Kluyveromyces lactis: one gene and its partners. The protein of the gene in region 1 purifies or fractionates together with the protein of each later gene. This does not show direct contact. Links are inferred from orthologs where the notes say so. Each region holds a gene or a part of one and is shown on either strand. Other genes may lie near its edges. The genes, in order: SIT4, MRPL3, CCT6, ACC1 and CCT2.

Region 1 (5,425 bases):
TGGAACATAAGCAGATACATGTTCGACGATTTTTTCAACACCAGTCTGTTCGTCATAGTTTCTACCTAGGGCATCAATGAATTGACCTTCTGGGTCCATCAAGTAGAAGAAAATGGAATGATCAACTAAATAATCCTGGCCAGGTTTGACGTTTGGTGGAGTAGAGAAATAGACTCTGTATTTTTTGCAAGCATTCTTCACGGCATCATAGTCACCAGTTAAACCGATAATGTCAGGGTGGAACTCGCTTAGGTATTCTTTCAAGACTTCTGGTGGATCTCTAGCCGGGTCACAAGTAATGAAAACAGGTTGCAAATTGATGTCACGCTTCTTTAACTCAGTTAACCATGCTCCTAACTTATCTAACTCATCTGGACAAATATCTGGACAATGACTGAAACCAAAATAGATGATAGAGAACTTGCCTAGCAAGTCTTTCTCTGTAAATGGATTCCCATTAAAATCAATCAAACTAAAGGGACCTCCGACCAATGGCCTACCGTAACCTCTGTTAGCTTCCGCCTCCTTCTCGGTCTCTAATCTTTGCTTCTCATTTTTAAAGAAATAGTACACCCCGCCTCCGATAAGAATGAACAAAGCTGCTGCTTTCCAGGTAGTAAATTCGATGGTAGAACCTGTATCAACTTTTTGGGTATGAGTTTCAGCACCGCCAATGGGTATCCTACTTAATGGCTTCTTCTTAGGTTTTGGACTACCTACTGCAGGGGCAGGGTCATATTTCTTAATCTCTTGTAACTTGGTTGCAGATACGGATAACGATCTGTAATGATTCATAAAATGGGCCAAGGTAGTTTTCCTTAGCACTGGTCTCATTGCTTCTTTAGAAGCAAAAGTAATACTAGGGACGCGAACAATGCTGCGTAACATTACAATTTATAGTTGATACTGTATTAGCAATCCTTGTTATTGTTAAACCGTTTATTCCCGATGTGAGTAACCAAAATGCTGCGTTTTGTTGGTATCACATCATTTATGAAAGTTATAAGTGCAATCATATGGCTACATTTTTTGTATAAAATGCTCTTGAAATTTTAAATATTTCAATGCAGCTTTGGAGCTGAAGAGATACTGGTAAGAAAAAAAAAAACCTATTCTACACACGATATTCTATATATGATTCCATATCAAATTGAATATATTCGATGATCTAGTTTGGATTAGATCAGGACTCTGTGAAGCCTCGTGAAAGACATAATGGCAGTTTAAACGTTATCATTAATACATATATCTATATATATTACCGGGTTTTAGACTATTTAAGTTTCAGGGGGGTTGGTTTCTCAGTAATGATTTCAACCCATTAAAAATTACGTTGTTTATAGTCCACTTTCCAATTAAATCCTAATTCCTGATGGATATCTTTGAATTCGTAAAAGTTAGGTAAATGTTTGATTTCTAGTGTACAGTATATTAAGAAGGAATTCTCAAATAGAAGGAGAAAAAGAATGTTTAGTCCGATGTAAGTTCGCATAGAAGATTATACAGACAAAAAGGCCGCTGCAATGTCGCTCTATAAGAAATATCCACCTCTTTGGTTATTATTGTTTGTTTCTTGGATGTAATCGTCAGGTACAGCGGAAAAAATTTTGAATGTTGGATCTAAATCATCTTCGACTTTCATGACACTCGCCACATTACCACATCGATAACAATAATTAGGTGCAGACCATACCGTTACAACATCCTTCTCCGGAAAATGGTATTTGAATCCTTCCATAACTAGCTGGTGAGCTCTTGCGATTAGGCTTAGGCCATTCACATGATTAAATTCTCGTGAGACTTTGCTACCGAACAACCATCCGGCACCACGAGGTGAGACTTGCCATGCTTCCACGTTGTCGGGGTCACTCCATAACAAATCGGAGAAGCCACCTTCATGAGGAACTTCTTGGGCTCTCGATAGAACTCTGATCTGATCAAGCATTCTAATCTCGGGAGACAAACCACCATGCACACATAAAATTTTCCCGTCAATAATAGCTGCCAAAGTTAAGAAATCAAACACTTGACAACAATACTTCCAAACCGTTGTGGAACCATACTTATTTAAACATTCCTCATAAAACCCATAAACTTGTGTAATTTGCCTCGACTCATGATTTCCTCTAACCAAAGTAATTCTGGAAGGATATTTCACTTTCAAACACATAAGAAGTGTGAACGTCTCCAAACTGTAATAACCACGATCTACATAGTCACCAAGAAAAATATAGTTTACTTGATCAGGAAACCCACCAGCAGTTCTGAATAGTTCTAAAAGGTCATGAAATTGTCCGTGAATATCACCACAAACAGTCACCGGCGATTGAACCGGCTGAATATTCGATTCTTCCATTAAGAGTTCCTTCATCATCTCGCATAGCTGTTTCATCTCAGACTCCGTCAAAGCCTGACATTTCTTGATCTTCTCAAGCCACAAATCTGGCCCATTATCTGACATTGTGATATTTTAGCACTCCGGAGACAAAACGCTCTATAGATAGATGAACTTATGCAATGGCAAATTAACCTTTACAAGGGAAGATAAAGTTCAAAGGTCAATAAAAAAAATAATAATTATAATAAAACCCAGTCCTTACCTGTGAAAAAATTGGGATAAATTCCTTCTGAATTTCTTGTAAAGTGATTATGATTAGCGTTCTTGTAAATAAAAACCACAACAAGCTTAAAACCTGTGTTTGGAAGTATTTCTTGCACCTTTTCTTTTCAACAAGAAACACTCACTCACTATAGGAAAATTCAATAGCTCAAACAAAGAACAGCCCTATATCACTACTCTTTGTTGATGGCTAAAAGCTTGTTAACAAAGTAGTTAGCTATAAGGATGTTTCCTTCTCTCTTTGTTTTCTGTTGTAATCATCAGTCCTTTTACAAAAATAATGGAAACTTCAACAAAATTTCAACTTCTCTTCAATTTCTTACTTTTTTTTGCAGAATGTGACCTGGAAGACAAACAGATATATGTGAGAGCATTCTTATATCTATATAGACATGTCTGTAAAAATTGAGTCTTCCAAAAGTGTTTCACGACTGGGTATGATAGTGGGACCCGAATCAGGTTAGGAGGGGCTGTGTCATCTATTTTTACATACTATATGTATATTATCTATCATTTACTTATCGAGCCAGGAATCTTCCTGGTTCAACGAAAATCTAGAGACGATCTTTTCATTGATATTAGGGAAGATTACTGAGATATCGTTAGTCTTCATCGTAACGCACACTTGCAGGCTTGGAAACACATTTCCCTTCCACAATTGTTGAATTGAAAGTGTGACAAGGATATTTTCAAGTGATTCTGCGGTGTAATTGTCTTTATATATCGATGGCATTTCAGGTGGATATAAACCGATGGATTTTGCTAGAATTGGTCTTATCACAGAGTATGGTAGTTTATTTGAATTGCGCGGTATACAGTAGTATAGGAAAATAGATCGCAAAAGGGATCTGAACGTTATAATGGGTAGCTTTTCCAATAGAACAATCAACAATTTAGATGATTTCAGCCACGATTCGTTCTCGTAAAGCCAGAAGTTTACTCTGTTCAAGTTTCCGTTTTTAACGGCAATCACAAGAGCTGTGTATTTCTGTGCTAGGATAGGGTCCCATTGAGATAACTTGTTGAAATCTGGCAACTTGCTGATAATGATACCACATGGAACTAAAAACTTCAACAATCTTCTCCTGTTGTTCTGTTTCGCAATAGAGTCGGGTAATGTGGCTAGGAGTTCGTAACATTGGTTCAACTGATGGAAAGCATTAACCATTCTATGGTTTAATAGGTAATATCTCCCCAAGTAATACCTATACTGGATTCTCTCTGTCAACGGGTATTGGTTGAACGAATAGATATTAGACTTTGGTTTCAAATTCTTGAAGATGTTAGCGCACGAAGATGGGGAGTTAATCTTGAAATAAATCATGTTCAATTTGTTTGAAATATAAAGCAAGACCTTCTGTTTCCCTGACAAATGATCAAATTCGACCTTATCATCATCGACCCTGGCTTTAATGCTATTGAACAATTTGGAAATGATGGAAGCAATATGGGTCAGAAACTGATGCTGTCTTGTACCAATGATCTTATGGTTAGCATCCAATCTAATAGCCATTGGAATGACCAATTCTGTTGTAGCTGTAAACAGTGGTACCAAAGAATCAATAGGGTACATTGTTGTCTCGTTTGTGAGACATGTATTCAAATCCTGGTAATATTGGAACACAGAGAAGGACGATTCCCATAATGAATATGGATTCAGTTCTTTACAGTACCCAAGAAATGAACTTACCAAATTATTAAACCTGGTCCATCTGTTCTCATAAAGAGAATGTGAATTTATCAGGGTCTCAAGGTCAATGCTGTCATTGGATCTCAAAAACTGTTGCAATTCAAGAATTAATTGTCCATTTCTTTCGATGTTTATATCCAATACACTAAAATCACCTGCCTTTAGAGCCCCAAAGAAATGGTCCATAACCAAAAACCACAAAGGAAAATCCACTGGCGCTTTTCAATTCAAAGTTTGTCCTATAAAGGTGATCTGAGTCAAATGTCAACCAGAAGTTTTTCTGATTTGTCTGATTCTAACCTTAATATTAGATGAGCCAGGTACAATGTTTCAAGAGACCATGATTTCCGTTTGTTGATTTTTCTTGTCACGTGATCGATAAAGTCACTTGAAGACTTGCCTCGACATATATCCATAAACACTCTTTGGGGTTTACATACAGTGTTTCGCCTAATCCCAACCTCCGAATGCGCTTGCTAACGATATGGACACCTTTCTGCTATTGTGTATGATGAACCATACTTTTACAGCTTCCTCAGTAAGAAGCCCCAAACATCAACTAATCAAAGTCACGTGCCGGAAAAATTTTCTCTCATTTTCGATTTTCCCCGGCATTTCTTCGTCTGCACCAATCTCATCGAGCATGAATCGGATCCTCATTCGTTGGCTCTCTCGAGAAATATTTCAATTTCGTTGATTTCAATTTGCAGTAACTTTCTTCTTTCCATGCACTTTATTTCAACTTCTGGGGTTAGCGATTGCTTATGTTCCATTGATTCTTAGTTCATAGCAGGATCGTACACAGAATCACGTATTAACTAACTCGAGAAAAATGTCTAACACTGAAAGAACTTTCATTGCTATCAAGCCAGATGGTGTTCAAAGAGGTTTGATCTCTAAGATCTTAGCTCGTTTTGAAGACAGAGGTTACAAATTGGTTGGTATTAAGTTGGTTACTCCAACCGAAGCTTTGTTGAAGGAGCACTACGCTGACTTGGTTTCCAAGCCATTCTTCCCATCTCTATTGTCTTACATGACTTCTGGTCCAGTTTTAGCTACTGTCTGGGAAGGTAAGGATGTTGTTAAGCAAGGTCGTGCTATCTTGGGTGCTACCA
Region 2 (5,514 bases), on another chromosome or scaffold:
ACTGGATCTTCATTCTCAGTTGCCGAGATTCTTCTGAAACTTAATGTCAAGGTCTTAACTAATGGTTCCAATCCAATTTTGGTTAAGCAAGAGACTGTATGAATTTTCAGGGCTTTAAATTCTGCATCGAACTTTTCAATTAAGTATTTTAACTGGGTTTCAGTAGCTAAATCCGATTTATTCAACACGACAATTAAAGGTTTATCAGATAAGTTATCCTTGATAAATTCTTCAAAATGTTTACTTATATTTGGGTTAGATACATCAATGACCAATACCACTAAGTCACTTTGTAAACTTTTCTTTTTGGATCTGTCAATACCTTTGATCTCAATAGAATCTGAAGTTCCCTGTCTGATCCCTGCCGTGTCAGTCAAGATACATTTAAAACCGTTAATGTCCATCATTACATCGATAGAGTCTCTTGTGGTGCCCGGTATATCACTGACAATCGCAACGTCGTCTTGAGATATTTCGTTAACTAATGATGACTTCCCGGAATTTGGTTCACCCAACAATGTTAACTTTATCCCATCGTTCAAGACAGCCATTCTATCTAATTTCACCATGAATCGAGTCACTTTTTTGTATAGTTGTAAAAGTTTATCATTGGCACCATTCACTATAGAATCGATATCTTCCGTTTCGATATCTTCACCAAAATCAATAATTGCAGTTAGTTTAGCGATCTGCTCTATAATCTCTTGTCGCCATTCATGGAAAATGTCTACGGTCTGATTGCCATGCAATGCAGACAATCGCTGTAATTCTGTATCTGAATGAATCATATTGTTGATACTTTCAAGCTTCAACAAATCCATTTTCCCATTCTGGAAAGCTCGTCGACTGAATTCTCCCGGCATCGCCATACGAATATCTCTTTCAGAGTCCCGCAAACCCTGGATTGAGTTTAACGCTGCCTTTATAATAGCTTTCCCCCCATGTAGATGCAATTCCACTAAATCTTCACCTGTAAAGGTCCGTGGTTGTGGGAAGTACAAGACTAACGCTTCATCTATCAGAGTTGATGCCTTGGGATCATATAATGACCGAATCATCGGTTTCCTCTGCCGTAGCGGTTTTTTTGGCGACAATTTTTTTAAGATATACTTTGAATGTGTACCCGATATCCTAATTATAGCTATTGCAGAGTGCTGATTTGATGGCGTTGATAATGCATACACTGTAGGATGGAAAAATGTCGCTGGAACACTATAAAACCGTCGCAACATTGGGCTGAACATCACTTTTTGCGAAAAATTGAACCAAATGAGAGTGGGATCCTTGTAGACTACCATTACGATTCCAACTGCAATTTATGGTAGTTTAGAATAGTCTGTAAATATGTTTAGCTACCGATTCATCGACAATCCATAGCATAAGTGCGCCGTATCAGAAAGAATCTGGAATAATGAGATGTCTGTGAAAACATATTATTATCACGTGACTACTCGGAAAACATCAACAGTCTACTATATCCGGGTAATTGCAGATCTCAGTATCGAAATATTGAAAAAAAATTTTAGTGAAAGAGTTACAGAGAGAGGATGGAAAGAAGTTGAGTGATGCAGTGAGCTATTGGTGAGGTTTGCCATTGATATATACAGCAATCAACATCACCATCGAGGGGGGTTAAAGAAGGATGTCTGTTTTGAAGCTATTGAACCCTGTGCGAGTGCGAGGATTTGCTTCTTGTGCCAGGTTGTACCAATCAGAACTGTCATCATTGAAAGAATATAAGAATACCATCAGTACACTGTTAAAGAACCCTGCACATGAACTAACAAGCCCCAATTTAGTTGCACTCCATTCCAGATTAAGATTGCCTCAAGGCTTATCCTATTCTCTTTTGTCCAGATGTTTGACGTGTCGTTCTAGTGGGGAAGTGAACTATGACAATGTCAGTTTGAACATTTTTGGTAAGAGTCTTTTAACTTTGGCAGTTACATCCGAGCTAATGAAAAAATATCCTAGGCTACCGGGTGTGGTTTTGAATGCTGCTGTGGATGCATATATTAACGACCATGTTTTGAGCAATGTCGGTCGTTCCTGGGGTATAGAACCGGAAACTCAAAGTGTAGTGGATAGATATGCAAAGAAAGAAAATGTTACCATTACATTGGGTAAACTACGTTATTTCCAAAATTCCGTAGATGAATTGCATAACTTCACTGAGAACAATGCTATGGCAGTTGCCGTAAGGAGTATATTCGCCGCTGTATACAGTGTCGACAAAGATTTCAACCAGACACATAAGTTTATCGCAGATCATATTTTGTCCAGAAAGCTGGACGTTAAAGATTTGTTCGCGTTCGAACAACCAACCAGAGAACTGGCAGCTTTGTGCCGTCGCCAAGGATTGGAAAGACCGGTATCGAAACTACTTGCAGAAAACGGTAGATTGTCTAAATCACCCTTGTTCATCGTTGGCGTTTTCAGTGGTGAAGAGAAATTAGGCGAGGGTTACGGTTCATCTTTGAAAGAAGCTAAAGCCAGAGCCGCTACAGACGCTTTGTTGAAATGGTACTGTTACGAACCAGTGCATGGCCAACAGAATGTCGTTATTGACCAAGGCGAAGTGTTAGTATAGACAGGCCGCATCAGCAATGTATGTTTTCCACATAATCCTTTTCAGTTGAGATCAACTTTTAAAGATTTCTTTCCCTGTAAATATAATATACAAATACATAATAGTAATTCATACACTGTTGTACTCGAACGAAATAAAAAAGGAGGTTGTACGAAACTTAGTTGTGTCTTGAGGCCTTGCCTTATTTATAGCTAGATCCTGTTCTGCATTATTTGATCAAGATATGGATTTGAAGGAGGAAGTTCTGCTGCAAGTTAATTCGACGATCATTGAAAGTAAAGGAGGTCCGTTACTATTTATCCTTGTATTGGAAAATGAAATAGCATCACAGTGTTTTCTGTGTGATGGAGTTGGAAACGTTGATACGAAGCTCAGCCTTTTCAGCTGGAAATCCTCTGATCCAATTGGAATCCTAATGGTTGACCCGGACATTTACGATTACGATGACATGTTACAGTCGTTGAATTCGAAACAATACATTATTAAATCCAAGTTCCATTACTTCCCTGAAACTAGCAATTTGATACAATGGCATGAGAGTGTACGATATCCTTATAAGCTAATCAACTGTGGAGTAGAAATTCAGGATGATCATTCCGATTTAAAACTATTAAAACGTGATTTAAAAGATCATTTGGATAGGATGATTCAATATCTTGAAGATAATGATAGACCAAGCGATGAAATCTTGAAAGAAATTTGGTTATTAAAGCTAAGATACAGTAGAACATCGGCTCCAGACTTAGATTCAGAAATCTCTAGGCTGGAATCTGATATAATGATGATGCAAACGATGTTCAATCAAATGGAAACCAATGCAGAATTATTCTAATGCTACTGGCTCAATTATTCTCATTATTCATTTACTAAATTAATGCAAAACTATATTAATAACTTACGGATGCGTTTATCTATGGGCACACCAGTCGCGAAACATGTATTTTCTGTGCTTACCCATTTCTTGGCACACTCTAAATTAGCGACATATCCAGATGAAATCATGGCAGGTTCTGTTATTTCTTCGCCGCATAGGGGACATACGTCAGTCGTATCATTGTTATCCACCTCTGATGCTACGCCAGGTAGTACTGGAGGTTTTGGTCTCTTTACTCGTATCTCTTTCTTGAATAATTCAGGCCGCTGATTGATAATTTGTAAAATTCTGATCATCACTAGGAAGCTCGGGAATAACTTGTCCAAGAACATGGTCGATGTGCTCTCCACTGCATCCTTGGTCATAGCTAATATTCTGGGTAAATTAGTTCTTTTACGACGACGTTCAGAAAGAGTTAAAGTATTTTTCCTACTTGCAATTCCTTCTTCGGGTTCTTGGTATCGTTGGTATCTTATTTGTGTTATGAAATGGATCATATCAGTGTCTTTTGAATGACGCAAGTACTTTAATTTGAAACAGAAATTTATCACTTTGATAGTCTTCTGTAGCTTAGGATAATAGGCATCAAACCATTGTTGCCATGAGCTCAATTCTGGGCTCGTCAATTTTCTGGACTGCAAGAGCTCATGGTATTGTTCACAGATATCACTAACGTATTCGAATAAACAGTCATTCAACCAAATTCCTAGAAAGGTTAATTTAGGGAATCTAGAAAACCTTTTCAATCCATAGAACTTGTCAAGAATTGTGGCACCTGTTGTTTTATAATGTCTGTATTCAACCAAAGATTTAATCACCAAGATTATGAAGTCAAATTTATTAAAAATCTTCAACAGCCATCGTGTTGGTCCTCTATATTGGAGATAAATGGAGAAAATATACCTTAAAGTTGGTTTGATTAACTTCTTCACTTCATTGACAGAGAGTATTTCGAATAAAGTCGGTTGTTGTAAATTCACCGGGAGATTGGAGTAAAAATCCATCGCTTTGAGTCCTCCCTGTTTCTTGTATTTGTTTCTGGAGTTGTAATTGTGTTAAGGGACTATGAACGTGACTTTGTTTGATTGTAACTGTTCCTATGTTTTTTAACTCTGCTTTCATATTTAAGCCAAACTGGACTATGAGACAAAGTCGATCACGTGAGAGAAAAAGACAAATGCAGTTCGATAACAGGTAAGTCCTCGGTAGCGTCCAAGGATAACACTGGTGAACGTATCCGATGCACAGCGGATCCCTGCCAATCATTTTGTAACTAATGGTTCAGATGTCTTCATTTGATCATTTCATGCGTTCTGGTATTTAAATTGTATATAGAAAATTATAAGTTAAATTGTTTGGGATAATGGTACTAAACAAAAGAACTTTATTCCAAAGCACCCTTAGTACGGAAGATTTCCAAAGCTTGAGTGATTCTCTTGCTCATGGTCTTTTCACCTTCTCTAACCCAGACTCTTGGGTCGTAGTACTTCTTGTTTGGAGAGTCTTCACCGGTTGGGTTACCGACTGGGGTCATCAAGTAGTCCTTCTTGTTCAAGACGTAGTCTCTGATACCGGACAAGTAAGCGAATTGACAGTCAGTATCCAAGTTGACCTTTACGACACCGAAATCGATGGCAGTATGGAAGTCCTTGGTGGAGGAACCGGAACCACCGTGGAAGACCAAGTACAATGGCTTGTCTTCTGCCTTCTTGTTTAATTGCTTAGCAGCGTAGTCTTGGAAAGTACCCAACAATTCTGGTTTTAGGGCAGCGGCGATCTTGTAAACACCGTGGACGTTACCGAAGGCACTGGCAATGGAGAAGTTTGGAGAGATCTTGGACAAAGCTTCGTGGACAGAGAAAACAGTTTCTGGAGTGGTGTAAAGTTTGTCGTTAGAAGTACCTTCGTTGTTGACACCATCTTCTTCACCACCGGTGATACCGATTTCCATTTCCAACCATTGGTGGATCTTGGCCATTCTGGTGAAGTATTTGACACATAGACCAATGTTTTCCTCATCAGTTTCTTCGGACAAATCCAACATGTGGGA
Region 3 (6,223 bases), about 1.2 Mb from region 1:
CCATGATGGCTTCGACGATATTGGTAATGGGAATCGTTTTCTTCTCGGGAAGAAGTTGTTTGATTCCAGAAAGAAGAGAACTAACACCTTGTATTTTCCCCTCAGTTAATCCATATAACTTGTTTGATAGTCCGGAGAGAAGCTGTGATGCGTTACCGTCCTGGCCTTCTGAATTAGCGGATGTATGCGTTTCTAATGATTTATTTTGTAATGCCATTGAAGAGAGTTTGAACATATGTCTCAAATCATATATGTACTTTAATGCGCTGATATCATACTCGACGCTTTGGAAATATTGCTCCACTTCTTTGACAAAGGCGCTAGGCAATATTTCTTGTGCTGTCAGGTACATTATGATATACGTACGCGCCTTATCTTCGATGTTGTTAGTCTTTCCATCTTTAAGAGCAGCAAGGAAATCTTGTCTGGTTTTAGAAGAATCGGAAGATTGTTCCAACTCAAAGAAAGAATCTAAGCCTTTGCTTTCAAGCTGTTTCAAAAGCCCTGCGAGAACTGTCATGTGTGTATCAATGGTAGATTTTCTAGCTGTGAGAAGTGGTAATTTTTTCACAGCTTCTTGAATTTGTATAGTGTCACTTTGTCCTGTTGGATCAAGATCTGTCAAATTGCTTACACCAGTCTTCTTGGTAATTTCTTCTGCATCTTTTTTGTAATTCGAAAGTTCAGTTTCCACGTTCTCGACAGCATCAGGGAATGGTAGATGAGAATTGGCAATCCAGAAAAAATCTTTTGGGTCTATATCCATTTTTTTAATAACCTCTTCGTTTTGCTCGTTGGTGGTAGGCATGGTTATAGTGTTTCTTGATAATTTGAAAACATCAAATACCAAACATTGATAAATCCAGGAATGTGCAAACATAGAAGCAATGTCAATATTTCTATCCACTATAACAAGAACAAACCGCTCAAATGAAGTTGATCCACTAGCTGAAGATCTGGTACCATTGACATAATCACGCAGTTTGGTTTCAAGTTTTTGAGCCACCATTTCAGCAGCACCACCCCTTTGTGCTCTAATAATAGGTATAGTTCCAATTGTGACGATAGCATTGAAGATCCCAGTAGCAATTGAATCGCATAGATTAGTGATAACGTCCTCAGAACTCTGAGGATTATTAATAAGTCCATAAGTGCCGGGCATCTCCAATGAAAACATTTCCGGTTCTGTTACAACGAAATCCAAATATTGATCGTACACTTGTTTTATTCTGTCAGACTTGCCAGTAGCAGAAGCCTTGCTTGCAAAGGTTTCTAAAAGATCTCTTTTCAATGTAGTTGTGAAATTGATGTATGTTTCTGAATACTTATCTTCTTTCAAGTCCTGGACAATCGCATCGATGTTCGCTTCTGTTGGTTCCACGAAATACACTGCTGGAACATCAGGTAAAGGGGATCTCTGTTGTGTGATAAGGGCGTGAACTGTAACATTGGATTTTAACAAGTCATTGACTCTCATAACAGATGATATTATAGCGGTGCTCCTAGCATCCATGATCAGTACTTTCCAAACGATCTCTTGTTCATCAAGATTGCTTGTTGCTGCTTCCGTTCCTTTATCTGAATTGAACAGTAGCATCTTTTCAATAGACAGAATCTGTCTGTCTCTTAAGGACAATTCTGAATTCAGCATATTACTCTGGTATATATGTGATCCCGATGAGGTATGCTGTTCAATGGTTTGCAGTCAATGACTTCACTCTCGTCCGTACTTTCTGTACTTTTGGTGTGTCTGTTTATTATAAAGGTGCTTCCAGTTTTGATGTTTAATCATTTTTTGAAGTATATTAGTATTTCGTTTTCGGTGATGGAAACGGTATTTGGCCAACACGTAGATTTGGATCTATAGCACTCGTGAAGAGATCGCATATTACATATACATCGGCCAAACTTGAGTCTTGTACTTCGTATTTATTTCCATTTAGTATACATAATTCTATTTGATTTTGGAACCTACGTTAAAGACAGTGATATTTTTTAATTGTACCAGCTTCATTATTGTGGTGGACCTTCCTTCAATGTAGATCTACCGGCTCTGAGTAGTTCGTCGCATAGCAACAAGTTAGAGGCTATACCTGCGGCACCAGTTACTGCATTTCTGAGGACACGATAAGAGTCCCAAACACCTTCTATAGTTGGATCACAAGAGTCGCCAATATTTAGATCAACACCCACTATTCTTGTCTCATCTTCTTCCAACTCGTCTTGGCATTGGGCAAGTACATCAAGGGCATCATATCCGGAATTCTTTATTAATGTCTTAGGAATAGACAAAAGTGCGTCTGAAAAGGCTTGTACACCTGTTTTTGCTTTACCTTTGGCGCCTAGCTTGTTCATATTCGCCCTTTTCAAGTGCTGGGAAGCAGAAATGAAGAATGCCCCAGCGCCAGGAACGACAGCACTGTCTTTGATGACATTTGCAACAGCTCTTAAACCATCTCTTACTGCATCTTTGGTTTGGGTCAAAGCGTGGTGAGTAGAACCTTTAATCAAAATGGTACAAGACTTAGGATCTCTGTTTTCGGTGACGTAAGTAAATTTCTCCTCGCCGATAGTTTCCTGGTAAACCAATCCGGAATAACCTAAAATTTTAGGCGAAAGATCATCAACGGAATTTTGAGCTTCACCCCCAGTGACGAGTTGTAGTCTTTCCATATTACGTCTCTTGGCTCTTCTTAGAGCAAGAATGTTGTGTTTAGCAAGAACATCTAATGACATTGGGTCGATACCTTTTTGGTTTATGATAACAAAACCCTCTTTAGAATCCATACCACATACTTCATTCTTCAAGTCGATGATTTTTTTTAATTTCTCATCAACAAATTTTCTTTCACTAGCAGCCAACTTGTCTCGTTGGTCAGCAGAGCTGTAAAAGAAACCAGAGTTGACTTCCGTCTTCTCATATTCCAAAGAAACATTTAGAATCAAAACATGTGCATTTTCGACTCTGGTTGGCATATCAGGATGTCTTCCTCCATGATCCAAAATTAATCCTTTAACAAAAGTGGTATCCTGTGGAGATAGATGTTGCATTTGCATTATTTCAATCATGTGTAAATCTAGATTTCTGTTGTTAGGATCTTGAACAGCCAAAACAGCATCAGTGACGATTGGTGTTAAAACTTCAGTGAGTTCTGGGTTGACTTTAGTACATAAGGAACTTCTGGCAACCTGCAATAAAAATTCACGATCCAAATCCTCCTCAGCGCTCTTTTCGATTTTGAAGGTATCCAAAAAACTTAAGGTTTCCTTTCTTGCAATCTCAAACCCGTCAGTAATTGTTCTTGGATGGACACCTTCTTGAATATATCTATAAGCTTGTTTCATCAGTTCTCCCACCAAGCAGACAACGGTTGTAGTACCGTCCCCAGTAATTTCATCTTGGGCAGTGGCTGCACGAGCAATCATGACAGCAGTCGGAGACTGTATTTGCATTTCAGTCAATAGGACTTTACCATCTTTGGTCAACTTGATATTACCGGCACCATCGACCAACATTTTCAAAGTACCCTTAGGTCCTAGGTTAGTTTCCAAAACGGATTGAAGACCCTCCGCTGAAGTGACGTTGACTTTTAAAGCAGCATCTCTTCTTAGGGACTCGGCCTTTGGATTTAACAACTGAACTGACATAATTATCTTGCTTTCTCTCTATTATGCACTGCACGTAATTGGTATTGTCAAATTATGACTTTTGATCTGGATAATAAGATGCAAGCAATTGACTGCAATGAATATCACAACTAAATATTAGAGAGTATAGATTGATTTCGGTTCTATTAGAATCAACGTTGTGGACGAAAATGCAACAGTATCTTTCACTCTTTTGAATGTTATTCTTCTTCAACACCGAACGTTAGCCATAATTAAAAGCTTTACTTTCTCCATCAGAAAACTTAGATCACTGTTTTCGATTAATTTTTTTTCTTTGGAAGTGGCGAAAGCTAATGGTTACCCGGTTATTGAAGCAAAGCAACAATCCATGCTGTCGTGATCCTCATATTTATGCAAAGATGATGAAGATTATACTTTAGTAGGACCGCACATCTTCAGTATAATAAATACTAATAGTGGTTTTCAATGAGAATTCTCTAAATATTTTGGTCTTCTGTAAATTGATTTATATGATGATATGTATTGAATCTATTCACATGAAAGACTATGCCGAAATGATGTCCGTTATGACGACGATGATGGCTGTTTTATGGATTGTTTCCTATACGAAACGAGGTAAACAGTAACTTTCTCTATTGATATTCATTTTTTAACTATTGTCATTTCACTGGGTCTATTTTATCCTATTTCTTGGGCCGCCTGGAGACTTCTTGTTCCTTGCCGTCAAGACTTCAACACCATTCTCGGTGACCAAAAGGGTTTGCTCAAACTGAGCACTAACTTTACCATCCTTTGTTGAAGAAGTCCAATCGTCAGGCCAGGTGATATCTTGCCATACACCTTCGTTAATCATAGGTTCTATAGTGAAGACCATTCCAGGTTTCATGACACCGGGCGTTCTGTTGTTAGCATAATGTGGAATGCTGGGGGCACAGTGGAAAAACTCACCGACACCATGACCACAGTAAGTCCTAACAACAGAGCATTTGTTGGATTTGGAGTGCTTTTCAATGCAGTCTCCCAAGGATTGAAAAGTTACGCCTGGTTTACACATCTTGATGGCGAGTTTCAAACATTCACGGGCAGTTTCAACGGTATTTATGACATCCTTGGCGATAGTCTCACCAACGTAGTAAGTTTCGTTTAAATCTGCATGCATGCCTTGGTAATACAATGAGACATCTAAATTGACAATATCTCCCTCTTTTAGAACATATTTGTCAGGAACACCATGACAGATAATCTCGTTCACAGAAGTACAGACGGATTTAGGGAAATTATAGTAGTTGAGAGGAGATGGGTATGCTCCCCTCTTGATAGTCTCGTTATGCACTATCTCATCAATTTCATCCGTAGTGATACCTGGTCTAACTGCGGCGGCCGCAACATCTAGCACTTCTCTACCTAGAGCACAAGCTTTTCTGATCCTCTTAATTTGCTCCTTATTGTAGACAGGAATCTTGTTTGTTCTATCATTTCTTTGTTCGATGATGGGTAGCCCATTTTCTGCCCAATCTGGTTTCTCGATCTCATCTGGGACCTGTCTTTTTGGCGACAGAGGGTATTGAGCTTTCAGCTTGCCAGTATACTTGAATTTTGGAAACGGATCATACACCTCACCAGAACCATCTGTACCATAATGTAAAGCCTTATGCTGTTTGTACCCGTCTTTGAAACAAGATTCTCCACAAAAGACCTCTTCAATACCTTGCTTCAAGCAAATCGGGCATTTTAACATCGAATCTGTAACTTTACCACATTGTAGACTAGAACAACGGACATTAGCGATTTTTTCCTGCATTTTTTCCTCTTAGTGTCTTCCAAGATTTACAGCTGCTATGTCAGTAAGTGCAGTTCAGAAACACCTTCTATATCACTTGGAATACGTTTGGTATAAATAAGTGAGAGAGAGGAGTAGAAAGAGCTGTATCTGAGCTTCTCTCATCGCATCTCGTTCTCATGTTCTTTATTAAAGGTCGAAACAAAAAATTTTATTTGAAAAGTCAGATGAGTTTAAATGTCATACTTTTCTTTTAATTCTACAGTGCGAAGACTCCGCATTATCTATGACACATTTCTAAATATCTTAGGAACAACCTCGGTTTAGGGCGATTGAGAGAATAGTGCTTAGAAAATTTTGATTAACTGGCGGTTACTTCTGATCCTAAGTAGCTAGCTTATGAGAAGGTGTTTTCCAAAGGCATGTTTTCTTAACTTTCTCTCAAAACGCTAATGAATAATTACTATATAGAACTTTCTTGATTTTTGATTTCGTTTCTTACTATGGAAAAGTTCAAATCTTGCACAAAAAAGAGTCGAATCTTAGCTCACCTATGAAAGTGATCTGGGCCGAAGCTTTCTGGCAATAGTTCATTGAGGGTCATAATTTTTTTGACAGAGGTGTCGCAGTTTGTCATTATTATTGGCAGATCTTCTTTTCCAAACTCTCTGATCGTTTGCCGACAGATTCCACATGGCGGAATGTAATTATCTCTCATATCGCTGTTGATAGCGACACAAACCCAATCTGCTCTGTGGGAGCTTGTGACAGCTTTCACGATAGCAGCTCTTTCTGCACATATGGTGGCTCCAT
Region 4 (6,912 bases), on another chromosome or scaffold:
AATCTAAATTTTCATTCCAACAGCTGCTCACCCCTTGTATGCTTAACGCTTTTTTCTATACCGTTGTAACAATTTGTCTATAACTTAACTATCTTTCTCTCATGTCAGTCAGTTTATACTATTTCCGCTTTTTTTTTTCTGACGTCTTGTAGTCGCAAACCACAAGAAACCGCAAGTCACGTGATCTCAAACCCTCATCTATCGCTAATCTATTCTAAAATCCAATCGTTGCAGCTTTCACATAAATAACCGCTGTATATCAACCGAATACAACTACTCCATTTCCTTCATTCAAAGATTTGTTCCCTTAAAACGCCAAACGTTCTTTCAGTCTAAAACCAAGCGCATTGCGGTTAATTGCTATTATCTGCCCAGATATAACACACTTCTTATCCTAAATTCTGTTGCATACCGTTGCTGTCAACGTGACGTGTACCAAATTGTTGGTACATGAATCATCTTGAACGACCACGGATAGTATGAACTTATGGGATCTTTATGAAATGTTCTACAGAAAAACAAAAATCCAACAACGATCCCAACAAGTTTTCAAACTTTTTCTTTCCCAAAAAAAAAATAGTGCTATGAAATTTCAAGTATGGTGAAATCACCACATCGTTTGGATGAAATGCCTAGACTGGGATGTAGAATGGATAGAACCAAGTTTTTTTTTTTTTTCTCTTCTCATCTTTTTGTTTGTTTTGTTAGTTTAGTTGAAATTTTGTCTAGATGAAGTGAAATGCACTCGGCGGCTTTTTATAAAGAAGAGGTTTTCCTGCTATTTTTTTCAAGCAAAGGGGTTTAAATAAACTTCGTGAATTTAAATTATATCAATTCTCTAAATCTTCTTAGGTTTTTATACATTGTATTTTCTGTCTTTCTGAAACCTCTTGACTCACTTTCAATTGATCAGTACTCTGTGGAAACTCATCAAGAGAAAGGGCTAACTAGAAGAGATAAGATATTTTAAAGATATCCAAGGAATAATTTTAGTTTGAAACTGAATTACTCAATATACACAACAAACAACAACAACAACTTGTATTGAGAATATTTATTTGTTCATCCTATCATATTCATTCTGATTTCCTGTTAATATTGACAATAGGAGTTTCACACAATTAAATCTGTCCCTTTTTGAGTACAACTATTACTAAAAGGTCATCAGCCCTCTGACAATTAATATCTGGATATTGCGTCAATTGTATTGAACGCATTTGCCTAGTAATACTATTTTTTTACCCTTCACGATTTTAATTTTGAGGTTATAAAGTTTAAAGAGACTTTTTTGTCCGTGAAAAGATGTATGTATAAACTAAACTAAACTATTACTAATAATGAAAACCTCTTTGGAGTTTATTTTTTGACAAGTTGAGATTGACATTGGAAACAAAGAATTACTGGAACCGCCTTACTCCTCTATTATTACTTTTCAACCAATTGTTTCTCAGAAGATTTTATCTTAATATCAGTTTTTGAGAAAATGAAGATTGTTGGGGAAAAAATACGATACTGCATATTTTGAAATTTTGAAACCGTTTCCTTTTGTACACGATTATTGCGCTAAGGTTTTTCAATGGGTTCTACTTGTTCGTTTTTGAACTTTATTTTTTGGTTGAACGAAAGTTGAAAATTGAAAATCCAATGTTTTTATGCACAATTGAGGATGGCGACTGGTAAACGACAGAAGCATCAACTCCATTTCGTCTAGTGTATGTGTGAAACCTGTCATCTGTGAAGAATAGGTATATTGTTTAGCAACGAGAACAACTAACGTTGGTATTCCTTAGAAAGCGAAACTGATAGTGTGGCTAGAAAATCCCCACATTGTTCACATCTTTCAAGCCTTCGTTTAGTACTACATTGTTCATCGCACAATAATAATATTGCCGATAATCTCATAACTGCAGCGTTCCACAGCAATATATAGGCATATGTGAACGATTTTTGCCGAGTTACAGTTTTATTTTCAGCCCACATTCGATATTACATCACTGTTCCCCTTCATTGTCTGTCTGCTGTCAAAAACTAAAACTTCATAGAGGTTAAAGAAAGTTTTGTTAAAAAGAGTAAGCATAAACCGAATAGTACGTTTGCTAGTTTCTTTTTTTCAGAAACTTTCTATTATTATCATTATTGTAACATTGATCAAATTGACTAACTTAACTCTTTACAGACTGTTCCCGGTTTTAGCTAGACATTCTCGGTTCATTCCGCTCGCCAACAAATTTACAGTTCATTTTAGCATATTTTCACCAAGACTATTCCATTCTACACGCAATATATTAAGAAGCAAAATGAGTGAGGAAAATCTTTCTGAGGTTTCAATCTCTCAAAGTAAACAATACGAAATTACTGAATATAGCGATAGACATTCCAAGTTGGCTTCTCATTTCATTGGTCTGAACACTGTGGATAAGGCAGATGATTCTCCATTGAAAGAGTTTGTCAAATCACATGGTGGTCATACTGTGATCTCAAAGGTTTTGATCGCTAACAATGGTATCGCAGCCGTTAAAGAAATCAGATCGGTTCGTAAATGGGCCTATGAAACCTTCGGCGATGAAAGAACTGTTCAATTCGTGGCCATGGCCACTCCAGAAGATCTTGAAGCCAACGCAGAATACATTCGTATGGCTGATCAATATATCGAAGTTCCCGGTGGTACCAACAATAACAATTATGCAAACGTTGACCTAATTGTTGAAGTTGCCGAAAGAGCTGATGTAGATGCAGTTTGGGCAGGTTGGGGTCATGCTTCAGAAAACCCACTACTCCCTGAAAGGCTAGCCGCTTCTCACAGAAAGATTATATTTATTGGTCCACCAGGAAATGCCATGAGATCTCTCGGTGATAAGATCTCGTCCACTATCGTTGCCCAACACGCTAAGGTTCCTTGTATCCCATGGTCTGGTACTGGTGTCGATGAAGTTCATGTTGATAAAGAAACTAACTTGGTCTCTGTCGAAGATAAAGTATACCAAGAAGGTTGTTGTTCGTCTCCAGAAGACGGTCTAAAGAAAGCCAAGGAAATTGGTTTCCCAATTATGGTCAAGGCTTCCGAAGGTGGTGGTGGTAAAGGTATCAGAAAAGTCGAAAATGAAGATGAGTTCCTGTCTTTGTACCAACAAGCTGCTAATGAAATTCCTGGTTCTCCAATTTTTATTATGAAGTTGGCTGGTAAGGCTCGTCATTTGGAAGTTCAACTTTTGGCTGATCAATATGGTACCAACATCTCTCTATTTGGTCGTGATTGTTCTGTTCAAAGACGTCATCAAAAGATTATCGAAGAAGCTCCTGTAACTATCGCTAAGCCAGATACCTTCACTGAAATGGAAAAAGCAGCCGTCAGATTAGGTCAATTGGTTGGTTACGTTTCTGCTGGTACCGTCGAATATTTATATTCTCATGATGAAGACAAGTTCTACTTCTTGGAGTTGAACCCAAGATTACAAGTTGAACATCCAACCACAGAAATGGTTACTGGTGTTAACTTGCCGTCTGCCCAGTTACAAATCGCTATGGGTATTCCAATGCACAGAATCAGAGATATTAGATTGTTATACGGTGTCGATCCAAAATCTGCATCCGAAATTGACTTTAACTTCTCTACACCTGAGTCTGCTAAAACTCAAAGAAAACCAACTCCTAAAGGTCACTGTACTGCCTGCCGTATCACATCCGAAGATCCAAATGAGGGTTTCAAACCATCTGGCGGTGCTTTACACGAATTGAACTTCCGTTCTTCTTCCAACGTTTGGGGTTATTTCTCTGTTGGTAATAATGGTGGTATCCATTCATTCTCTGACTCTCAATTCGGTCATATCTTCGCCTTCGGTGAAAACAGACAAGCTTCAAGGAAACATATGGTTGTTGCTTTGAAGGAATTATCTATCAGAGGTGATTTCAGAACTACGGTTGAATATTTAATCAAATTATTGGAAACCGAAGACTTCGAAGACAATACCATCACGACTGGGTGGTTGGATGATTTGATTTCTCAGAAAATGACAGCTGAAAAGCCTGATAGAACCCTATCTGTCATTTGTGGTGCCGCTACCAAGGCTCATATTGCCTCCCAAAAAGCCAGAGAAGATTACATCTCATCTTTGAAGAGAGGCCAAGTTCCAAACAAATCATTACTACAAACAATGTACCCAATTGAATTTATTCATGATGGTATGAGATATAGATTTACTGTTGCTAAATCAGCCGACGATCGTTATACTCTATTCATTAACGGTTCCAAGTGCGAAGTTGGCGTAAGGAAGTTATCTGATGGTGGTTTGTTGATTGCCGTTGGTGGTAAATCACACACCATTTACTGGAAGGAAGAAGTTGCTGCTACCAGATTATCAATCGACTCTAAGACAACTCTACTAGAGGTTGAAAATGATCCAACACAACTCAGAACTCCATCTCCTGGTAAATTGGTCAAGTTTTTGGTCGAAAACGGTGATCATGTTATTGCTGGCCAACCATATGCCGAAGTTGAAGTTATGAAGATGCAAATGCCATTGATTTCTCAAGAAAATGGTGTCGTTCAGTTATTGAAACAACCAGGCTCTACTCTGGCCGCCGGTGACATTCTAGCCATCTTAACTCTAGATGACCCTAGTAAAGTCAAACATGCTAAGCCTTACGAAGGCATGCTACCAGAATTGGGTGCTCCAATCGTTGAAGGTACCAAGCCTGCATACAAATTTAAATCTTTGGTCACTACTTTGGAAAACATCTTGAAGGGATACGACAATCAAGTTATTATGAATGCTTCATTGCAGCAATTAATTGAAGTGTTGAGACAACCAGAATTACCATACTCTGAATGGAAATTACAAGTTTCTGCTTTACATTCAAGATTACCACCTAAGTTAGACGAAATGCAAGAACAATTGGTCACCCGTTCATTCAAGAGAAATGCGGATTTCCCAGCAAGACAACTAGAAAAGATGTTAGAAGCTGCCTTAAATGATCCTAACGTTGACCCATTGTTTAGCACTACCATTGAACCACTTGTTGATATTACTACCCGTTACTCTAAGGGACTTGCTGCTCATGAACATTTTGTCTTTGCCACTTTCTTAGAAAACTATTACAATGTCGAAAAATTGTTCTCTGGGCCAAACATTCGGGAAGAAGACGTCATCTTAAAATTGCGTGATGAGAACCCTGACGACTTGGAGAAGGTTGTTTTAACCGTCCTAGCTCACTCCAGAGTATCAGCCAGAAACAACCTGATCCTTGCCATTTTGAAGCATTATCAACCGCTATGCAAATTGAGCTCTGAGGTAGCCGCTGCTATCGAACAACCATTGAAACACATCGTCGAATTAGAATCTAAGGCCACCGCTAAGGTTGCTCTACAAGCCAGAGAAATTTTGATTCAAGGTGCTTTGCCATCTATCAAGGAGAGAACAGATCAAGTTCAATACATTCTTAAGTCATCTGTTTTAAGCACTTCATATGGTTCATCCGAAACGAAGCGCACAAAACCTGATTTAGAAGTTTTAAAGGACTTGATCGATTCCAACTATGTTGTTTTCGATGTGTTGGCCCAATTCTTGACAAATCCAGATGATGCCGTTTCTGCTGCTGCTGCCGAGGTCTACATTAGAAGAGCATACAGAGCGTACACTATTGGTGATTTGAAGCATCAAAAGTCTTCTGGATCACCTGTAGTTGAGTGGAAGTTCCAACTTCCATCTGCTGCATTCACCTCATTGCCACAGGTTAAGAGTAAATTGGGTATGAACAGAGCTATTTCTGTCTCTGATTTGACTTATGTCTCTGACGGTGAAAACCAACCATTAAGAACTGGTTTGTTGATTCCTGCTAGACATCTAGATGATGTTGATGGTATTTTGTCGTCAGCTCTATCTTTAATTCCTTCTCATCATATGTCTACTGGCCCTGTCCCAGACAGATCTGGCTCTTCAGCCAGCTTGTCTAATGTTGCCAATGTTGTTGTGTCTTCAACTGAAGGATTTGAATCTGAGTCGGATGTTTTAAAGAGACTCAGAGAGATACTCGATTTAAACAAGCAATCATTAGTTGACTCTGCTATTCGTCGTATTACCTTCGTGTTTGGATACAGTGATGGTACATATCCAAAGTACTATACCTTCCGTGGTCCAAATTACAATGAAGATGAAACAATTCGTCACATTGAACCAGCTCTAGCTTTCCAACTTGAACTAGGTAAGATGTCGAACTTCAATATCAGACAAATATTTACTGAGAACAGAAACATTCATGTCTATGAGGCCGTTGGTAAAAACTCTCCGGTTGACAAGAGATTCTTTACCAGAGGTATTATCAGAACAGGTCGTATTAGTGACGACATTTCCATCCATGAATATTTGACTTCAGAAGCTAACAGATTAATGAGTGACATTTTGGACAACTTAGAGATCATTGACACTTCTAACTCAGATCTTAACCATATTTTCATTAACTTCTCTGCTGTATTTGACATTTCGCCAGAAGCTGTTGAAGCTGCCTTTGGCGGTTTCTTGGAAAGATTTGGCAGAAGATTGCTCAGATTACGTGTTGCCGCTGCTGAAATCAGAATTATTATCAAGGACCCTCAAACTGGCACCCCGGTTCCAATCAGAGCGTTGATCAACAACGTCTCGGGCTTTGTTGTGAAGACTGAATTGTATACAGAGATCAAGAATGCACAAGGTGAATGGATTTTCAAATCTTTAGATAAACCAGGTGCTATGCATTTGAGACCTATTGCCACTCCTTATCCTGCAAAGGAGTGGTTACAGCCAAAACGTTACAAGGCTCATTTGATGGGAACCACATACGTTTACGATTTCCCAGAGCTATTCCGTCAAGCCACCGTGGCACAATGGAAGAAACACTCTCCAAAGACCAAGTTGTCAGACGATTTTTTCATTGCAAATG
Region 5 (6,132 bases), on another chromosome or scaffold:
TTGTCAGTTTGTTCTCAAACCGAAACCCGTACTTGGCAGCCTTTCCTGTCCCGTACTTGAAGATAAAACATATGTATGTACATGCCCAATGACTACTTATTTCCGACTTTGATCAAAATCAAGATAATAATTTACTGAATGATAAATATTGGCAAACAGTATAATCCACCTGATTCTACAGTTAAATTGCCATGCTTTCGTGTCCAGTCGGGCTTTAAACATTTTTTTTCTTTTCTGTTTCGAGGGTGTGCTATGGTTTGTTACTCAGCTATTACCAATTTTTTTTTCATTCTTCAACTTAATTTTTGAATAAATTTCCATTCTTTAATGGCTTTCTTGCTTAGAAAAAAAAAGTAGAGAATAGTCTAAAACTTGCACTGCGCCATTATATAACAGCATGGATCTTCGAGTATTTACTATCACGGATATATAAACCAAACGAACATAGAGTCCAAAGGGTGAAACAAGATAAGGGAGAGCTTTAGATTTTTGAAGACATAATTGTGCTTAGGTTGTGTGCCGGCTTGTATTTTTCTTTCGTGTTCCTTTCGTTTATTTTTGGCCTCCATATAAGAGCTTAAAGTCGAATTAGACCATGGGATTATTTGATAAACTTCTGCGGTCGAACGAACGAGCTGAGCGAGGTTCTCCTAGTGCATTTGTGGTGAGTAGCTTCGATTCAGTGAGCAATGCTGGCAAGAGCTCCATTTTCAAGCACTCCGGTATGAAATCGTACATTTTGGAGTTTGAAATTGTACTTGATGATGTGCACAGAGTGTGGAAACCGAACGAGACTATCAGTGGGACTGTGAAGCTTCGATTGAGAAAAGATGTGCCTAATGTTTGGATTAAACTTGCTCATATAGGAGAGTTTCAACTCCATTCCAATAACCCGATGACCGCAGGTTCTCTAAAATCGAAATACTCTGATACAGTGTTTTGCAGGTCCACGAGTATTTATGGTAGTGAGGAGAATCCATTACACTTGACTGGCGGTGAACACAAGTTTCCATTCTCTTGTAAAATTAATGGTAAGAACTTGGTGAGCTCGATAGATTTTAAGAAGGGTTCCATAAGATATTGGGTTCAAGCAGAGCTTCATGCCCAAAAGACGCCTCCTATCTTTTGCAAGCAGCATTACCAGTTGATTGTGCCAATAGACGTCGGCCAATTACCAAAGCCAAATATCAAGACGGTGGTCTTACAATCACCCAACTCAAGCAATAATGGAATCCATGTTAGAAGACTTATGGCAGCAGGTTCTGCAGACCCACAAGACGGGGCTTCGTCTCTGACTAGGAAAACAGGCGGATCCTCTACTATCACTAATGGTTCATCAAGCTCAAATAATTCAGGTAATTCCAACGCTTCCATGCTCGCTGATAACAAGACTGTCAAGATCTCGGTAGAGATTCCCTGTCTAGGATACACCATCGGAGAAGAAATTCCGGTTAAAGTCCACGTCACTCATTACAAACAATACTTCCACCCTGCGGGGTTGATTGCAACGTTGGTCAGAATCTCTCGGGTTTCAAACCCTAGAAATACAGAACAGATCGAAACATTTAGAAAAGATATCTGTCAAGGTGTTGCCCCATTATATACAGACCCCGAAACGCATGAAGCTGTTATAATGTTGAAACTAAAGGTTCCATTAGACACCTTCCCGAGTTTGGATTTAAAGAATAAGTTCTTCACTTTCCAGTATTACGTGGAGATCCTAGCAAATTTGTCAAGGAAGAATTTGGTATACACAGAGTCCAATAGACTTGTGGGTGGACAGAGAACTAGTAGTATACCGATGCCGTCGAACAAGTTTTCGATGTTCCAAGACCTCTCAAACCAGGGTGAGGTTACTGCTGGCGAAGATGATTCAGTAACGTTTTTCCAAGATTTGATTAATGTAGACAGACTCAAACGTCTAAGAAACGTTACAGGTATGTCAATCGAAGTTGTGATCGGAACACACAGAGAAGAACATGAGCCTGAATCGCCCACAGTGGACCGTCTGGATTCCCATTCTATCAACCAATTACCTGATGATGTGGATGCAGTTTACAACCAATGCTCTAGCGCTGAATCTCCAATAGACGAAGCTTACGACTATTTGTTACATAGACATAACGGGCCATCACCTTCCTCTCGTATCTTCACGGATACGGATATGACTTTGTGCTATCCGGCTGACCCTGTTCCACTGTATAGTCGTGGATTAGATGACTTCACTGGGTGTTCAATGTCAGGTGTTACAGATGATAAACAAGAACTAGAGCAAATGCGGTTGAAAGAATTGGAAAGCGAACCGCCCATATAATAAAAACAGTTATGAATAAGTTATCTCATAAAACTATATATAAGATATAATGCATACCCTAATCAATATACGTCGACAAGAGATCCCTTTGCCTGAAACGAGTAATGAGAACACATATTCTGGCATCAATGATCATTTAATATTTAAAGAACTCAAAATGACTTTCCAAGTTGAATTTAGTAATACCGTTTAAACAATGCACAATTAATAATTATTTGTTTGGTATATAAAACGCCATTACAGGTGTCATTTTTCGACCCAGCAATTACCGAGAGTTGCTATCAATGAGATCGTCTACCCCAAATTTGCGGACTGAAATGATGATAGAAGCAATGTTAATTATGATGTTTTCAGGTATTTCCCTTTCACGTGACGTTATATGCCTGTAGTTGATTTTTCGTCAGAAAAAAAAAAACTACTAAATTGTATGAAGATGGAATAAGTATGTTTGCAGAATACCAGATAAAATATCACGGTGGCCAATTCTTTTTGATCATCCTCTACTTCCAACAAAGTTAGCAACAGTCCGCCAAACATCAAGTAAGAATGAGCGTTCCGATTTTTGGGGATCAAGTTACCGAAGAAAGGGCTGAAAATGCTCGTATGAGTGCTTTTGTCGGTGCCATCGCTGTAGGTGATTTGGTGAAAACTACTCTAGGACCAAAAGGTATGGACAAGCTACTTCAAAGTGCATCTAACAACACTAGCATGGTAACAAATGATGGTGCTACTATTCTTAAATCGATTCCATTGGACAATCCCGCCGCTAAAGTTCTTGTGAACATTAGTAAAGTCCAAGATGATGAAGTTGGTGACGGTACTACCAGTGTTACAGTTTTAAGTGCTGAGCTATTGAGAGAGGCTGAGAAATTGGTCGAACAAGGAAAAATCCACCCACAAACCATTATTGAAGGTTTCAGAATTGCATCTGCGGCTGCTCTATCAGCATTGGAGAAGGCCGCTGTGGATAACTCGAATAATAAGGAAGAGTTCTACAACGATTTGATCAGCATTGCAAACACGACACTTTCATCTAAAATTTTGTCTCAAGATAAAGATCATTTCTCAAAATTGGCAACAGATGCCATTCTCAGATTGAAGGGTTCCACCAATTTGGAACATATTCAAATTATCAAGATCATTGGTGGTAAGCTTTCTGATTCTTTCTTAGATGAAGGATTTATCTTACCAAAAAGATTTGGTAGCAACCAGCCAAAGCGCGTGGAAAATGCTAAAATTTTGATTGCCAACACTTCTCTAGATACTGACAAGGTCAAGATCTTTGGTACCAAGTTCAAGGTTGATTCTACGTCTAAGCTTGCAGAATTAGAGAAAGCTGAACGTGAAAAAATGAAAAAGAAGATTGAAAAGATTGCTAATTTCAACATCAACACGTTCATCAACAGACAGTTGATATACGACTACCCTGAACAAATGTTTACAGATCTAGGAATTAACTCCATTGAACATGCTGATTTTGAAGGTGTGGAACGACTAGCACTTGTGACTGGTGGTGAAGTTGTTTCGACATTTGACAATCCAGAAAAATGTAAACTTGGTGAATGTAAGCTCATCGAGGAAATCATAATCGGTGAAGAAACTTTCACAAAGTTCAGTGGTTGTAAATCTGGTGAAGCTTGTACTATTGTACTAAGAGGTGCAACCGAACAAGTATTAGACGAAGCTGAAAGATCTCTACATGATGCTTTATCTGTCCTTTCACAAACAACAAAAGAAACCAGAACTGTTTTGGGTGGTGGTTGTGCCGAAATGATTATGTCAAAAGCTGTTGACACAGTAGGGCAAAATGTTGAAGGTAAGAAAGCACTTGCTGTAGAATCTTTTGCAAAAGCCCTAAGACAATTGCCTACTATTCTTGCGGACAACGCTGGTTTCGATAGTAGTGAATTGATCACAAAGTTAAGATCTTCGATTTACAACGGCATGAGTACATCAGGTTTGGATTTGGATAACGGCACCATTGCTGACATGAGAGAACTAGGGATCGTGGAAAGTTATAAATTGAAAAGAGCTGTAGTAACCTCAGCCAGCGAAGCAGCCGAAGTCCTCTTGAGAGTGGATAATATTATCAGGGCTAAACCAAGAACAGCCGATAGACAGCACGGTCATATGTAAATTAATTAAATTAGTACTAAGCAATCACCACAAACGTTTAAATTTCGTTCTAATATCCAAAAAGTTAAGCTAAGAAGTGAATTATCATTATACATGAAACAACGTAGTTCAAAATTTACTCCAGAAAGTATATAGGGTAGGTCAATAACCTCAGTAAAGAGATTGCACCTCTATCTTCAAATTATGCAGTTCCGACTTCTTTGTTTTCAGGTACTCCTCCAACATTTGTACTTGCTGCTCAATACTCTCTATATCATCCCTCAAACCTCCAACATCAACGCTTTCTGAAGAAGTATTGGAATTATTGACAAGGTTTTTTTGGTATTCCAAGAACTGTTCTAACTGTTGTTTTACTAATTTCATTCTATCATTTGAGTCATTATGAGAGGTGGATTGTTGCTGTGCTGACGATAATTCAGAGTCAATATTTGCCAATTCCCTTTGAAGTCTGACTACTTCCCAATCAGTTCCCTGAGTAACAGAAAAATCAGTACCACCACGTTTTGGTATTTGGTAAGATGAAGAGTTAGATGTGGATAGTGTTGGCCTTCTTACTTCGCTCTGCTTGGAAGACAAATCCGTGGAAACTCTAGTCTTTGTAAAAGTTTCTTTCAATGCTGAAGGTAAATGTGATGGTATTGGGCAAGCATAGTCGTTCACTTGTCTCAGAATATGAATAAAGTATAGTGCTGGATCCTTATCTATGGAAGTGTCAAGCTTAGGATTAACCAAACGCCACGTTTTTTCTAAATCTTGAGATGATAGATTGATATACTTCGATCTAACGGCGGAGGATAGTGAAACATAAGATACACTATTGTCTCTAGAGGTTATGGCTGATTCATAAATTGATTCGTATTGTGACTTATCATCTCTTGATATATACCAATCAACTTCTTTTTGATAATCGTCTACAGCTGGCGAAGATGTCGGAACATTGACCACAGAACTTGTTTCTGCTGTTCCGCTACTACGTTCAGTTTTTCTTTGTTTGACTAATTCGGCTTTTGAACCGGGAATCAACCAATCTGGCAATTCATCTGGTACAGAATCTATGTTTTTATTAACCATGTCAAATATCATTCTCATACAAATCACAAACTCTTCAAAATCTAGTTGATCATCATCATCGATATCGGCCAAAAACCATATTTTGTTAAGTATCGAGGTGTCCAATTTAGAATTGAAAAGGATAGGCAGTACTTGATCATGGGTCAACTTATTTTCCACCGGTTTCAATCCGGAGAAAATTTGCCAATACTTTTTGATCTCAAATTGTTCAAGCTTTGGCATCTTAAATTGGTATTTGAATTATCTGTGGAGTCAAGCGCGATTAAAATAGAGGTCAGATATCAAATTAACACTGAGCTCAAACGTAATGTTTTCTTTGAAGTATGCCTGCGTTACTCACAATCAGTCAAAGAGACAGGAACAAATAAAACAAGAATATGTTATACCTGCTATCGCTCTAGCGTGTTCTTCGGTTTGAATCGTTTGGAACCTTATCTACTTCAATAAATTGCAATTTAAACCTTTTGGATAGTTCATCGTATTGATCTTAACAGTAATATCACCCATTTCAGTGCTGAAAGAAAATCAAAATTCCATTGACCTACATTACAAAAAGGGGAAGTCACGTTATACGTAACACACGTGACCTTGAATAATAGTCAAACAACCCC

What was found.
Region 2: the proteins of SIT4 (region 1) and MRPL3 purify together in Saccharomyces cerevisiae (affinity purification with mass spectrometry; 3 studies listed by BioGRID). This does not show direct contact. The link is inferred for Kluyveromyces lactis from reciprocal best matches to the Saccharomyces cerevisiae genes SIT4 and MRPL3.
Region 3: the proteins of SIT4 (region 1) and CCT6 purify together in Saccharomyces cerevisiae (affinity purification with mass spectrometry, with the first as the bait; 3 studies listed by BioGRID). This does not show direct contact. The link is inferred for Kluyveromyces lactis from reciprocal best matches to the Saccharomyces cerevisiae genes SIT4 and CCT6.
Region 4: the proteins of SIT4 (region 1) and ACC1 purify together in Saccharomyces cerevisiae (affinity purification with mass spectrometry; 4 studies listed by BioGRID). This does not show direct contact. The link is inferred for Kluyveromyces lactis from reciprocal best matches to the Saccharomyces cerevisiae genes SIT4 and ACC1.
Region 5: the proteins of SIT4 (region 1) and CCT2 purify together in Saccharomyces cerevisiae (affinity purification with mass spectrometry, with the first as the bait; 4 studies listed by BioGRID). This does not show direct contact. The link is inferred for Kluyveromyces lactis from reciprocal best matches to the Saccharomyces cerevisiae genes SIT4 and CCT2.

Annotation. Positions count from the first base shown.
Region 1 is NC_006040.1:312,712-318,136, forward strand, and holds SIT4 (type 2A-related serine/threonine-protein phosphatase SIT4), read right to left. Parts: upstream 2,462-5,425; coding exon 1,532-2,461; downstream 1-1,531. Other genes in the region: KLLA0_D03630g (SCO family protein), read right to left, coding at 1-888; THP1 (Thp1p), read right to left, coding at 3,135-4,496; YNK1 (nucleoside diphosphate kinase), read left to right, coding at 5,143-5,425. UniProt on the Saccharomyces cerevisiae protein: Involved in the dephosphorylation of the large subunit of RNA polymerase II. Is required in late G1 for normal G1 cyclin expression, bud initiation and expression of certain genes that are periodically expressed during late G1.
Region 2 is NC_006041.1:684,518-690,031, reverse strand, and holds MRPL3 (mitochondrial 54S ribosomal protein mL44), read left to right. Parts: upstream 1-1,642; coding exon 1,643-2,590; downstream 2,591-5,514. Other genes in the region: MSS1 (Mss1p), read right to left, coding at 1-1,298; KLLA0_E07613g (uncharacterized protein), read left to right, coding at 2,814-3,422; PEX12 (ubiquitin-protein ligase peroxin 12), read right to left, coding at 3,473-4,468; fructose-bisphosphate aldolase FBA1, read right to left, coding at 4,849-5,514. UniProt on the Saccharomyces cerevisiae protein: Component of the mitochondrial ribosome (mitoribosome), a dedicated translation machinery responsible for the synthesis of mitochondrial genome-encoded proteins, including at least some of the essential transmembrane subunits of the mitochondrial respiratory chain.
Region 3 is NC_006040.1:1,554,163-1,560,385, reverse strand, and holds CCT6 (chaperonin-containing T-complex subunit CCT6), read right to left. Parts: upstream 3,649-6,223; coding exon 2,014-3,648; downstream 1-2,013. Other genes in the region: SLY1 (syntaxin-binding protein), read right to left, coding at 1-1,651; methionine aminopeptidase MAP1, read right to left, coding at 4,304-5,431; CDD1 (cytidine deaminase), read right to left, coding at 5,958-6,223. UniProt on the Saccharomyces cerevisiae protein: Molecular chaperone; assists the folding of proteins upon ATP hydrolysis. Known to play a role, in vitro, in the folding of actin and tubulin. In yeast may play a role in mitotic spindle formation.
Region 4 is NC_006042.1:580,979-587,890, forward strand, and holds the start of ACC1 (acetyl-CoA carboxylase ACC1), read left to right. Parts: upstream 1-2,297; coding exon 2,298-6,912. UniProt on the Saccharomyces cerevisiae protein: Carries out three functions: biotin carboxyl carrier protein, biotin carboxylase and carboxyltransferase. Involved in the synthesis of very-long-chain fatty acid synthesis which is required to maintain a functional nuclear envelope.
Region 5 is NC_006039.1:983,728-989,859, reverse strand, and holds CCT2 (chaperonin-containing T-complex subunit CCT2), read left to right. Parts: upstream 1-2,860; coding exon 2,861-4,450; downstream 4,451-6,132. Other genes in the region: RIM8 (Rim8p), read left to right, coding at 596-2,314; END3 (End3p), read right to left, coding at 4,601-5,743. UniProt on the Saccharomyces cerevisiae protein: Molecular chaperone; assists the folding of proteins upon ATP hydrolysis. Known to play a role, in vitro, in the folding of actin and tubulin. In yeast may play a role in mitotic spindle formation.